Saccharomyces cerevisiae S288C: one gene and its partner. The protein of the gene in region 2 interacts with the protein of the main gene of each other region in a biochemical or structural test. Each region holds a gene or a part of one and is shown on either strand. Other genes may lie near its edges. The genes, in order: RFA3 and RTT105.

The links.
Region 1: the proteins of RTT105 (region 2) and RFA3 form a complex in vitro, tested with the Saccharomyces cerevisiae proteins (3 studies listed by BioGRID).

What each region holds. Positions count from the first base shown.
Region 1 is NC_001142.9:91,749-102,043, forward strand, and holds RFA3 (Rfa3p), read right to left. Parts: upstream 4,782-10,295; coding exon 4,413-4,781; downstream 1-4,412. Other genes in the region: SWI3 (Swi3p), read right to left, coding at 305-2,782; KRE9 (Kre9p), read left to right, coding at 3,344-4,174; CPS1 (Gly-Xaa carboxypeptidase), read left to right, coding at 5,989-7,719; TOH1 (Toh1p), read right to left, coding at 7,956-9,146; ASG7 (Asg7p), read right to left, coding at 9,402-10,031. UniProt on the Saccharomyces cerevisiae protein: As part of the replication protein A (RPA/RP-A), a single-stranded DNA-binding heterotrimeric complex, may play an essential role in DNA replication, recombination and repair.
Region 2 is NC_001137.3:365,142-367,928, reverse strand, and holds RTT105 (Rtt105p), read right to left. Parts: upstream 1,128-2,787; coding exon 501-1,127; downstream 1-500. Other genes in the region: NUP157 (Nup157p), read left to right, coding at 1-91; Hsp70 family chaperone SSA4, read right to left, coding at 1,412-2,787. UniProt on the Saccharomyces cerevisiae protein: Involved in regulation of Ty1 transposition. Inhibits Ty1 transposition at a post-transcriptional and pre-integrational stage of the Ty1 retrotransposition cycle.

The DNA of each region.
Region 1 (10,295 bases), on a different chromosome or scaffold from region 2:
ATCAAACTAAGAACAACACAGAACAAGAAAAATAACTTTTGATAAAGGCTCTTTTAAATAAAAAAAATAGAAAAAATAGAAAATAACACAATTATAGATATATATCTACATGTACATAACATGTCTAGTCGAATCTAGAGAAATGGGATAAAAATCAGAGAGAAGCCAAGTCAAGTGACGCACCATTAAAGAAATGAACCTAGAAGAAAGAAAATAAGCAAAAATATAGAGCGAAACAAAATAGAAAGTGTTACTAATGAAGAATAATTACAACAAAAACAAAAATGATCTCCATGTGTCATTGTTATGCCGACCAATACCTGTAAAATTGAGGTGCTTCAATAGAAATGGGTTTGACATCATTCTCGTTAGATATACTTTGGCCATTATGGTTTTCACCTGTTTCAATATTAGGTTTGTTAAATGGATTCTTTCCAATACTTAAAGTTTCAGGTTTCGATAGCATACTTTTGAAATGGTCTATCTGCGACCTGATTTCCTCCTTCTCCGCCACTGAACTATTATTGATATTGCTGTCGGATATTAAATTCAAGCATTTGCTTAAAACGTTTACAATCTTGCTGGAGTTTTGGTTGAAGTTCAATCTCTGAATTAGTAAGTTTTCCTGTTGTCTTTCTAGGGTTTTCCTTTCTAGCTCCATAAATTTTTCTAGTTTCTTTAAATGATTTAATTTAGCGTCCAATTTTTCCATTTGAAGTCTTATTAGCTCGTTAGTCAAAAAATTCATTTGCCTTTCCTCGTTGGTAGCGAAAATATGACTCCTATAACCCAATGATGATATGGCAATTTCTGAACCTTCTTTAATATGTTCAATTGGCTTTTGGTCAGAGATTTCCTCTTTTTGTGATTTTATTGATTCTGCGGACTGAATGGCTCTCTGGGTCATCGACTGTACAGTCTTCGGATTGACCAAACCCACCAAGAATGCTATTGTTGATAAAACGGGGTTTTCGCTCTTCGAAAATGGCAAGTGAGGAGCATATTTCAAAGGTCCTAACCCGTTGTCATTATCACCCTTGCCATTGCCGTCACCGTATAAAAATTTATCTTCAATGGGCAATTGAAGGAAACGTAAGATACACTGTTCAGGCGACTTATTGCCAACGTTTTTGGCCACTTTGTACCAGTCAGCGCCGAATTCTTGTATTCCCTTTAATAGCTTTTGCAAATCTTCTTTTGACCAATTTTCATCAATTTGTTCTAGAATTTTGACTTTTTTCAGAGGACGTGAAGTTTCGCCTTCTTCCAATAGATTGGCATCACCAGTCATGCTTGTTGACGTACTTACTTCATTGTTCATTTTACCACCATTATCATTTTTGTCACCATTTTCATCATCAGTGGTACTGGGGGGGTGAGTTATTTCATCATATTTTCTTTTGCTTTCTTTCAAATATTTATATAAAGTACTCTCCGAATCACTAGTGTTCATCATTTTTTTAAGCTTTGCCATATCCGGCAGTTGTACAGATGGTTTGTAACTTTCGAATGGGAATAGTCCTCTGGGGGCATCATGCCTTGTGGAATATTGAGACGTTAGTGGGGGTTCGATGTTCTTAGGTAATAGTTTGGAGTCAACCTGATAGTTTATTAGCCCCCATTTTGTTAAGAATTTATGCAATCTGAATAATGCAGCAGCATCACCAGAGACGTTTCTCCTCGCCGTAGTGACACTGAAATATTCGTTGGGGTTCAGCCTGTAAGAATTTACCATGAAGTTTCTGTATCTCATGTAAACTTCAGGTGTCTTTGATGGAATCCTATTGGTGAAAAATTCAGGTAACGATTGAACTTCAATGGAATGAATTTTTTCTAGATTGAACCATTTAGAATAACTTGGAATAACAATTTCATGTGCTTGCGGTATCTCAAAAGTTTCGGGTTCTACTCTGGTGATAGTGGTTTTCTTTGGATTGGCACTTTTGGAGTGATCGTTCATGATTTCACGTTCCTGTTCGTTTCTCTCTTCGCCACTATCTACCTTCTTATCTACACTTTCCGTCTTTTCTATGATATCCTCCTGTTCAGCTTTATGCGCATCTGGAATTTCAGATGGAGTATTAGCAACCGACGAAGTGTTGCCTAGTTGTTTAGACTCACTCTTTGTGTCTCCAAAAATGGAATTATCAGGACTAATCATCGGTTGATCGTCATCCTCATCATCTTCTTCCACTTCATCCATTTCCTTTGTGTTCTCATCTGGCTGACTTTCTTCTTTGACACCTTCAATAACAGTGTTATTCTCTGGTTCTTCCTCTTTTTGTATTTTGACGTCCTCCATGTTTTTAACGTCACCATTTGAATCCTGTATTGTGCTGTCTTCCTTAATAGCAGGCTTATTGTTTTCATTGTCTACCGGGTTCGTAGGTATACTAGGAGTGTTTGCCTCATTGTTCGAAACAGAACTCTCGGTTTCGCCAAAGAGATTATCACTATCCTCATTATCTTGGCCAAAGACGTTCTGGGCCCTGCTTTCTTCTGTAGAAGGTGTTTCCTGGGAATCTAGCTTATTCGCTTGCATAGTCGGCTGCTGCTTTGCCGTTACCGTTATCGCCTCACTTTCTGCATCGCGTGTGTTCGGAACAGTTGCTTCATCCTTCAGAGACTCATCTTGTTGCTGCGATTCTTCACCAGCAGTATCTGTATTGGCAACCCCTGCCACAGCTGCATTAGCGTTGCTATCACTATTGTTGTCATTGCCATGTTGGTCCACGTCCACGGAAGCGTTTACCGTGGACCCCTCACCCAGTGTATTCTCCATGCTTGCAAACCGTATCACAATTGGTCTCTGAACGCGCCTCGATGTACCAATATATCGCGCCTTGCATGGCCTTTACACATTCCTCTTGCGTATCTGATATAGTTTGTTTTCGTCTTTTCGCCAATGGCCTAAACGCCAAACGTCCGGCCTCGTTATTCGTGATGCCTACTTAATGGCTCTTAAATCGAATTTAAACTAGCTCAAAAGTAATCAATTCAAACTAAAATAACATCATTGGCCATCCTGAATTGTTGGATGCCATCTAAACTGCGTATTGACCATTATTCCATCGTAACCACGGCGGTTCAATATAATATCACTTTTGACGATTAGGTGTTTTATTTACATTTCTTTTTTTTTTTCCTCGAAAAAGATCTTCAAGGATAATACAGGAATAGAACAGGAGTCTCAAAGCATTCTTGAAGCCAGATTTGCTCCAGTTTGATAGTTCCAAGAAGCGCTAAAAGTGGCAGTTCACACTTTGTTTTGATTACTAGGAATCTACTCTTTCGCTTTTTACTTCCTTCTCAGAGAATCAGCAACTGTGACATATTATAGATAATGCGTTTACAAAGAAATTCCATCATATGTGCTTTGGTGTTTTTAGTCTCATTTGTGCTGGGAGATGTGAATATTGTTTCCCCCAGCTCCAAGGCAACATTCAGTCCAAGTGGTGGTACTGTCTCTGTTCCCGTTGAATGGATGGATAATGGGGCATATCCCTCGTTAAGCAAGATTTCAACTTTCACGTTCAGTCTTTGTACTGGTCCTAATAACAACATTGACTGTGTGGCCGTACTTGCCAGTAAAATTACTCCAAGTGAGCTAACACAAGATGATAAAGTTTACTCTTACACAGCTGAGTTTGCTTCGACCTTAACTGGGAACGGTCAATATTACATTCAAGTTTTTGCCCAGGTGGACGGTCAAGGTTACACTATCCATTATACACCAAGATTCCAGTTGACTTCCATGGGCGGTGTTACGGCTTATACATATAGTGCCACAACTGAACCTACTCCCCAGACTTCTATTCAAACAACCACTACAAACAACGCCCAAGCCACTACTATTGACAGTCGTTCATTTACTGTTCCGTACACCAAGCAGACTGGTACGTCGCGTTTCGCTCCAATGCAAATGCAGCCAAATACTAAAGTGACCGCTACCACATGGACAAGGAAATTTGCCACTAGTGCTGTGACATATTACTCTACCTTTGGGTCATTGCCAGAGCAAGCAACTACGATAACTCCTGGCTGGTCTTATACGATATCATCGGGAGTAAACTACGCTACTCCTGCATCTATGCCTTCAGATAATGGTGGTTGGTACAAACCATCCAAGAGATTGTCTTTGTCTGCAAGGAAAATCAACATGAGAAAAGTATGAAAAATAGACGGCTTCTACTATCATCATTACAGTAAGGGTTGAAGTCAGGAAAGGTTAAAAATAAAATAAATATCAAAAAGTTTTTAGCGGAAGGCGTTAAGGCAGCAAGTACACATTCATTTATCTATCTATACATCTATAAACACAACTACAATTTTTTTAGAAATGGAATTTATTATATGAAGGGAAGACATATAGAGGCAACAGTACATAAAGGTAAGAATAAAAGCGATTTTAGCTAGTATATTTCTGGGTATTTCTTACATAGTCTCTGTAAAGCAACCACACCGTTTAAGCTTAAATCTTCGTTCTCCTTGAATTTGCATAGTACAGCGTCTAGAATCAAAAATCCTAGCTCGCCGTCATCATTGTTCCTGCAAACAAACTCATACCACGAGTCGATCTCAAATGTTTTATTCATAGATACACGAATATTGTTCAACGTAATCATTTCAACCTCGCTGCCGTTTTTCGATGATATGGTTGGCGATTGTAAAATCAACTGAGATTCAGTGGGTTGTGATTTGATTTGCGCTATTATCCTAAACACAGGAGCATTGACGTTGGAGATTTCTGTGGGGTCAACTCTTGGTGTTTCGCTGGCCATTTTTACTTGTGTTACTGGTAGACGATGTTCTACAAGAATGGTGAAGGGTGTGTTATATTGCTCTTTATTTAAACACGAACGAAAAAAATATCGCGTATTGCCACATTTGGCGCGTCAATATTAAAGAACGAAGGCATTATATAGGGCGACTTGTCATGATTCCAACCATGGCATGGGCGGTGGATGCTTCTCAGCAGTGGCCCATTACGTTAGTCAACGACTGTTGGCTGTCATCTGTTCTTGTTGGGTGCTTGCAGCTGCATCGACAAACATGGATGGATGCCTCTACATATATATATATATTTATGTAATGGACCTCTGAATATTTTACTATGTAACTGACTATAGGAGATACCACTGGTGCTGTAGTACAATTTAGCACTTGCAAGCGTTGACACAGTTGTTGCGAAGGCCTCTTTCTTGTAGCACTTAATTGGAGTATGACTGCCATCATGTAGGGAAATTATGAAAGCATAGGATCAATCTTGACGTTGCAAAGAAGAAGAGACTTGCTGTTCCCTATTGATCACTTACCGTTATTGGAGTTCATATGGTACTTTTTTCATAATTTTACGAGTAATCCCTAGTGGTAGTTAATATTCAGCAAATAAAATACCAGTTTGAGACCAAAGGTAAGATAAGAGTTTACTGATAAAGACAAAGAATTGGGATGACCTAGTCCAAGGGATTATAGTACCTTCGCGAGTATTGCATATAAGCTTTTAGCGATACACAAACAAAGCGACACCGGGATTTGCATATCGCTTGTTCCTACGACGTTGTCAGTTCCATAACCTCTGATTTCCCATACGGATTTTGAAAATCAGCTACGAATAGATAGTCTTTTTCTATTTTCAGTAAATGTGTCATTGAAAAAAGTTTCTTTAGAACGACGCTTTTTGCAGGCTACTAGAAACACCCACTTCTAGTAGCTTTACGTGACGAATTGAACCGCGTGATCTTGTGCACTGTTATCCTAAATGCTCAATGCTCAGAACATCTTCTTGTTATCTCAGCCTCGCCACCCTTATCTTATCATAGCGGCCTTTTATTTTCCCCTTTGGGCAAAATACGATACAGCCTTCCAAGGTCGGGCAAGAAAGTTTATGACATATAAAAGAAACGGGTACCCCAAATACGTCTCTTCCCATTGTAAAACTAATCCTGCATCATCACATTAAGGAATCATTCATCTAACAATTACATTATGATCGCCTTACCAGTAGAGAAGGCCCCTAGAAAGTCCCTATGGCAAAGGCACAGAGCCTTTATTAGTGGAATAGTTGCCCTTATTATCATCGGCACCTTCTTCCTCACTTCGGGTCTCCACCCAGCACCACCTCATGAGGCAAAGCGTCCACACCATGGAAAAGGTCCCATGCACTCACCCAAATGTGAGAAGATTGAACCATTAAGTCCATCATTCAAACATTCCGTCGACACAATTCTTCATGACCCTGCCTTTAGAAACAGCTCCATTGAGAAACTGTCCAATGCTGTTAGAATCCCCACTGTAGTCCAAGACAAAAACCCCAACCCCGCAGATGATCCGGATTTCTATAAGCATTTTTATGAACTACACGACTATTTTGAGAAGACTTTCCCTAATATTCACAAGCATTTGAAATTGGAGAAAGTCAATGAGCTGGGTCTTCTATACACATGGGAAGGTTCTGATCCTGATCTAAAACCATTATTGTTAATGGCCCATCAAGATGTTGTACCTGTAAACAACGAAACTTTATCATCCTGGAAGTTCCCTCCATTTTCTGGTCACTATGATCCAGAAACAGATTTTGTTTGGGGGCGTGGTTCTAACGATTGTAAGAACTTGTTAATTGCCGAGTTTGAAGCTATCGAACAACTGTTGATAGATGGATTCAAGCCCAACAGAACTATTGTTATGTCGCTTGGTTTTGATGAAGAAGCAAGCGGCACCCTCGGTGCTGCCAGCTTAGCCTCATTTCTTCACGAAAGATATGGTGATGATGGTATTTACAGTATCATTGACGAGGGTGAAGGTATCATGGAAGTCGACAAGGATGTCTTTGTTGCCACTCCAATCAACGCTGAAAAAGGCTATGTCGACTTCGAAGTCAGTATTCTAGGCCATGGTGGTCATTCCTCTGTCCCACCTGATCATACCACAATCGGTATCGCTTCAGAACTGATTACTGAATTTGAAGCCAACCCATTTGACTACGAATTTGAGTTTGACAATCCAATCTATGGATTGTTGACATGTGCTGCTGAACATTCTAAATCTTTAAGTAAGGATGTGAAGAAGACAATTTTGGGCGCACCATTCTGTCCTAGAAGGAAGGACAAGCTTGTTGAGTACATTTCCAACCAATCACATTTGCGCAGCTTAATAAGAACAACACAAGCTGTTGATATCATCAATGGTGGTGTTAAAGCTAATGCTCTGCCCGAAACTACCAGATTCTTGATCAATCACAGAATTAATTTACATTCTTCTGTGGCTGAAGTCTTTGAAAGAAACATAGAATATGCGAAAAAGATTGCTGAGAAGTATGGCTATGGTTTATCTAAGAACGGTGACGATTACATTATCCCTGAAACCGAGTTAGGTCACATTGACATTACTCTCTTGAGAGAATTGGAACCAGCACCACTTTCGCCAAGTTCAGGCCCTGTTTGGGACATTTTGGCAGGTACTATTCAAGATGTTTTTGAAAACGGTGTTCTACAAAACAACGAAGAGTTCTATGTGACTACTGGTTTATTCTCTGGTAACACCGATACTAAATACTACTGGAATTTGTCCAAGAACATTTATAGGTTTGTTGGCTCTATCATTGATATTGATTTACTGAAGACATTGCATTCGGTTAATGAACACGTGGATGTCCCAGGTCATTTATCTGCCATTGCCTTTGTTTACGAGTATATCGTTAATGTTAACGAATACGCTTAAGCGCAATGATTGAATAGTCAAAGATTTTTTTTTTTTAATTTTTTTTTTTTAATTTTTTTTTTTTTTCATAGAACTTTTTATTTAAATAAATCACGTCTATATATGTATCAGTATAACGTAAAAAAAAAAACACCGTCAGTTAAACAAAACATAAATAAAAAAAAAAAGAAGTGTCAAATCAAGTGTCAAATCAAAATTTAAATGATGATGATAATATGACCATACAATGACTTAAATCAAATCAAAACCACTTGCGTAAAGGCAGTGAATATGGCCAAAATATAATACCATACACCGTTTTGCATCTTCGTTAAAGCAACACCATTCGACTTCGAGGTGGTCGAAGGCGCAGTAGCAGAAATGCTCATCAATTGAGAAGAATAGGTTTCGTTTTCTGGAATTGCAGCCAATAAATCGTTAACAGTATCAGCAGAAACAGTTCCATTGAATGGAGTGGCATCAGATATGAAAGAAACGACATTTCCACTAGAATCGAAAACAACACCACCTTTCATCGTTCCAGTAGTATTTCTTGTTATGTATCCGTAAGATTGGATACCAGTACCCAAATCCTCGATACCTTGGAAAGTGTGGAAAGTAGAATAGAGATGGTTTTTCTCCGTACCATTCATAGCTTCAAAAATATCGTATTCCCCACATCCACTAGCCCAACATGAACAGTTGGCATTGGTTGGATATTGAGAAGTCCTTGCAATGTGATCGTTTAGCAACCAAATAGCAGGCAAGTCATAGTACCCAATAGAGCTGCTATTTTTCTCAGTTTCAGTAGGCATTTCGAATTCAAACAAAAACATCTTTGTTGTACCTCCGTACCCATAGTAAGCTGGAATGCCACTACGGTAAACCCCACAACCCTTATCATAACCTGATTTTGGACATGAGACATTCGAATAGATTATGTATTCTTGATCTGAAGAAATCAAAGTGCCATCTGCCAAAACGGTAGCTTCACTGGCGCTGCCAGTACCGTTAGAACTAGCGTAGGACAAAGCATTTCCTAAACAAGGGGAAGCTTCACCTCCATGATTTAGAAAGGTAACGTTATCAGCGGTTTTGGAACTGGACTCATAGTAGGCAAGACGGTTCCAATCAGAAGAACTTCTGCTGTTGTTGACGGTAAATCCAGGGGATGTGTAAAAAGCAAATTGTTTCAACTTCAATGGTCCACGGAAATGAACGGATAAATAGTCTGCTAGTGGAGCGTTCTTACCACTAAACCATACTCTGTCACCCACTTCGCAAGTACACGATTCATTGTTGGTGATATCTTTAAACTTATTCACATCTACGTAGGAGCCTGTAAAACCAACATTAGTGAAATCCAACTTTTGGTACGACTGAGGTCCACTGGCAGCGACTGTGTGCAACATAAACATGCACACGGAAAGGACTATACTCTGTAACATTTGTCTTATTTAAGCTTGTAATGTTTGCACTTGAGTATGTTCTATTATGGCTGCTTCCTTCGATAAGGATTGTTTCTCGAGGATTTTCAGGTTTATAAATAACCTAAGCTCGGCAAAATAGACAAAAGAAAAGGGCGGAGCCAAGACTTTGAAAAAAAAAAATGGAAAAAGGAACCCTTGCAGATACAGCAAAAATGGGAAATGGAGGCTGTGGAAAAGAAAGAGGCTGATATCATTTTCTGTCTTTAGATCTACCTAACGGCTTTTCTTACATAGGAGAACTACAAATATTATGAGTATAGAATCGATGAGGAGGCCAAGCAAAGACCGTAAATTCCAGTCGCGGAAGGTCTTACGTAATAAATCGTGCGACTCCAGCACATCGTGGGCTACCTTCTTCAAAAACGCGTAACGATATTTTTTCAAGGTGTCATTCTCGTCCTCGACTTGTTCCGTGTTCACGTTTAGGAAAGACGACGGCATACCGTCTTTGCTCTCGTAATATTCTTCGCTGTTGCTATCACTGAAATTCTGCATGACGCGAATCTCTTGGAGGACTTCTTCCTTTATGGGTATCACCGTTCTTTTAGTTATGGCTTCATATTCATAAAATCCTGGGTATTCGTCTTCTTGCAAGTCGTGGAATTCCAATTCATGTGGTTGCCAATACTGTAAGAACCACCAGGCTAAAAGATTCACCAACCAGAAAACGGGGCACAAGATTCCAAAAACAAAAAACCTTGGCAGCCAAGGTTGGACAGGCACACTCATTTTACATGATTTGCATTGGCAACAGTATTTTTTCATCCAAGGGTTCTCATCGTTCTCGAAGGGCGCGGCTAGATGTTTTGTTTTATGCTCAATACTTGATGCTAAAGTAGTCATGTTTCTTGTCGTCATTCTTTGAATTTTTGTAGTCCTATGTACAAGCACAATATAAATGACAGACTAGTCAACGACGCTGACCCTTTATATGTTCCCCGTATATTCCTTGTTTTCATTGCAGTTAACATGTAAATTTCCCGATGCGGTAATTACGTTTCAAAGTCATTTCAACACTTCTATTGACAGCAAAAAAATAAAGACACTTGAAACGCACGATTTTTTCAAGAATAATATCTGTCGAGAAGATGTGTCACATTACCTATC
Region 2 (2,787 bases):
GCCAGAACAAATCAAAAAATTGGAGAAATATGATCCGAATACCGATCCCGTTCAAGATTATGTGAAGGATCGTCATCATGGCCTGAAATGAACGGAATTATTTGTATATTTTAGCAGTTTGATTGTGAAGTTTTCTTTAATACGTAGGCAAATTCTTACGTCATCCTTTATATAGTGAATGTAAACTGCTGTTTTACGGTACGCTAACCGTAGCGAACTGAGACTGTATATGGTAAACAGTTAGTTGATCGTATGGCAGAGAATCTAGTTATTCTGAATACGTTCCCTTCACTTGAGCAGCTCAAAATATACACACTTAAACGCGATAGAATATACATAGAAACGTAGAAACGACATCAGTCGCTTTCGCTTCCTGCCAGAAGGATTAATAGAAGGGGAAGAGCCAGCTCCGTAGTTAGCGCATGCGGAAAGATGCCCATACTCAACAGCTCAGTTAAATATGACAGGCTAGGGCTATTTCTGTAATAGCAATGATGCCATCACGTATGAGAGTTCGGATACGAGTTGTTCTCATAAACATTTTTATTAGCATTGTTCAAAAAGTGTTCTAATTCATTTTTATAAGTTTCCTGTTTTTCAATAAAGGCAAGCAACTCATCGTCTTCCAAATCCTCGTTGTTTTGCCATTCCATATATTCAGCCATGTCAGAGGGTAGAGCGTTCTTTTGTGCTTCCTGCTTTAGCCTTTGCATTTCTCTAAGGTGTTCACCTTGCATGATCATTTCTTCCATCTTTTCTAGGCCACCGCGTACTTTGGTCATTTTGTCTCGACGTCTAGTTAATCTCATGGACTCCAACCGTGATCTCTGATCCGCTCGTTGTCGTTCTGAAGGGGCAATAGGGGATGAAGAATGAGGCCCAAAAAAATCCTGTGAACGATCTCGTCTACTTGATATTATATCTGAAACCACAGAAGGGGAAGTGTCAATGTGCATAGTGCCACTTTGTTGTTTGTTCTCTTCTGATAGTCTACGTGTAGATGTTCTTAAAGATTGAGGTGTTAAACTCCGGTCAAAAGAAACACCTGTACGCTGTAGTTCTGCGGCCTTCTCTTCATTCCAATCGAAGCAACAGTCATCCGAATTTAAATTATGATTGCTGTACATTTCCGAGCTAAACTCTTTGACTGTATTTTGTTCCTTTTAATGGTCAATTAGTCGTGTTGTTTGGCGATGACTTTCTTATTGTCATTTCGGCTTTGTATATGAACGCGAAATCGCATCCCGGTTGAGGCACTTAATTAAACTCTGGCTTATGACGATGAGAACGTACAAATAGTAGTCATTTGCTAATTACTGATTGTGTATCTTATATATATACTTATAAAAAGTTGTTAAGAGGGAAAACTAAGAAATTCGATGCTGCTACTTCATCGCATCTTTGTATTTATCTAATCAACCTCTTCAACCGTTGGGCCGTTGTCTGGTGCTCCAGTGGGGCCTGCTCCAGCACCCGGAACTGGGCCTGCTCCTGGGGCACCACCTGCAGCTCCGTAAAATTTACTCATAATGGGGTTTGCAACACCTTCTAGTTCCTTTTGCCTTTCCTTGTATTCCTCGGTGGAGGCCGCTTGCGAAGCATCTAACCAATTTATAGCATCTTGGGCGGCGGCTTCCAATTTCCTGGCATCCTCTTCACCCACCTTCTCCTTGAAGTTATTTTCGCTCACAGAATTTTTCAAAGTAAACGCGTACGATTCTAGCTGATTCTTAGCTTGAACACGTTGAGCTTCTTGTTCATCTTCGGCCTTGAACTTTTCTGCCTCAGCAACCATTTTATCGATATCTTCCTTCGATAATCTTCCCTTATCGTTAGTAATTGTAATCTTGTTAGATTTACCAGTACCTTTTTCAACGGCAGATACGTTCAGAATACCATTTGCATCGATATCAAATGTAACTTCAATTTGTGGTACGCCTCTTGGAGCGGGTGGAATACCGCTCAACTCAAATTTACCCAGTAGATTGTTGTCTTTTGTCCTTGTCCTTTCACCCTCAAAAACTTGTATCAACACACCAGGTTGGTTGTCAGCGTAGGTGGAAAACACTTCCGATTTTTTTGTTGGGATAGTCGAATTTCTTGGGATCAACTTTGTCATAATACCACCTGCAGTTTCAATACCTAGAGATAATGGTGCAACATCCAGCAACAGTAAATCTTGGGTCGTCGACGACTGGTCACCCGTTAAGATGGCAGCCTGTACGGCAGCACCATAAGCGACGGCCTCATCAGGGTTAATCGAACGGTTTGGTTCTTTACCATTGAAAAAATCAGAAACCAGTTTTTGTACTTTTGGAATTCTTGTTGAACCACCAACAAGTACAATTTCATCAATTTGTGACTTATCTAATTTTGAATCAGCCAAAACTTTTTCCACTGGCTCCAATGTAGATCTAAACAAATCAGCACATAATTCTTCAAATCTTGCCCTTGTAATGGAAGTATAGAAATCGATACCCTCAAATAATGAATCTATTTCTATAGATGTCTGAGCAGACGAAGACAGAGTTCTCTTGGCCCTTTCAGCGGCGGTCCTTAACCTCCTTAGGGACCTTTGGTTAGTTGTTAGATCCTTTTTATTTTTTCTTTTGAACTCCTCGGCTAGAAAGTTAACCAGCCTACTATCGAAATCTTCACCACCCAAGTGAGTGTCACCAGCAGTAGCCTTAACCTCAAAGACACCTTCATCTATGGATAGCAGAGAGACATCAAAAGTACCACCACCTAAATCAAAGATCAAGACGTTGTGCTCCTTCTGCGATTTCT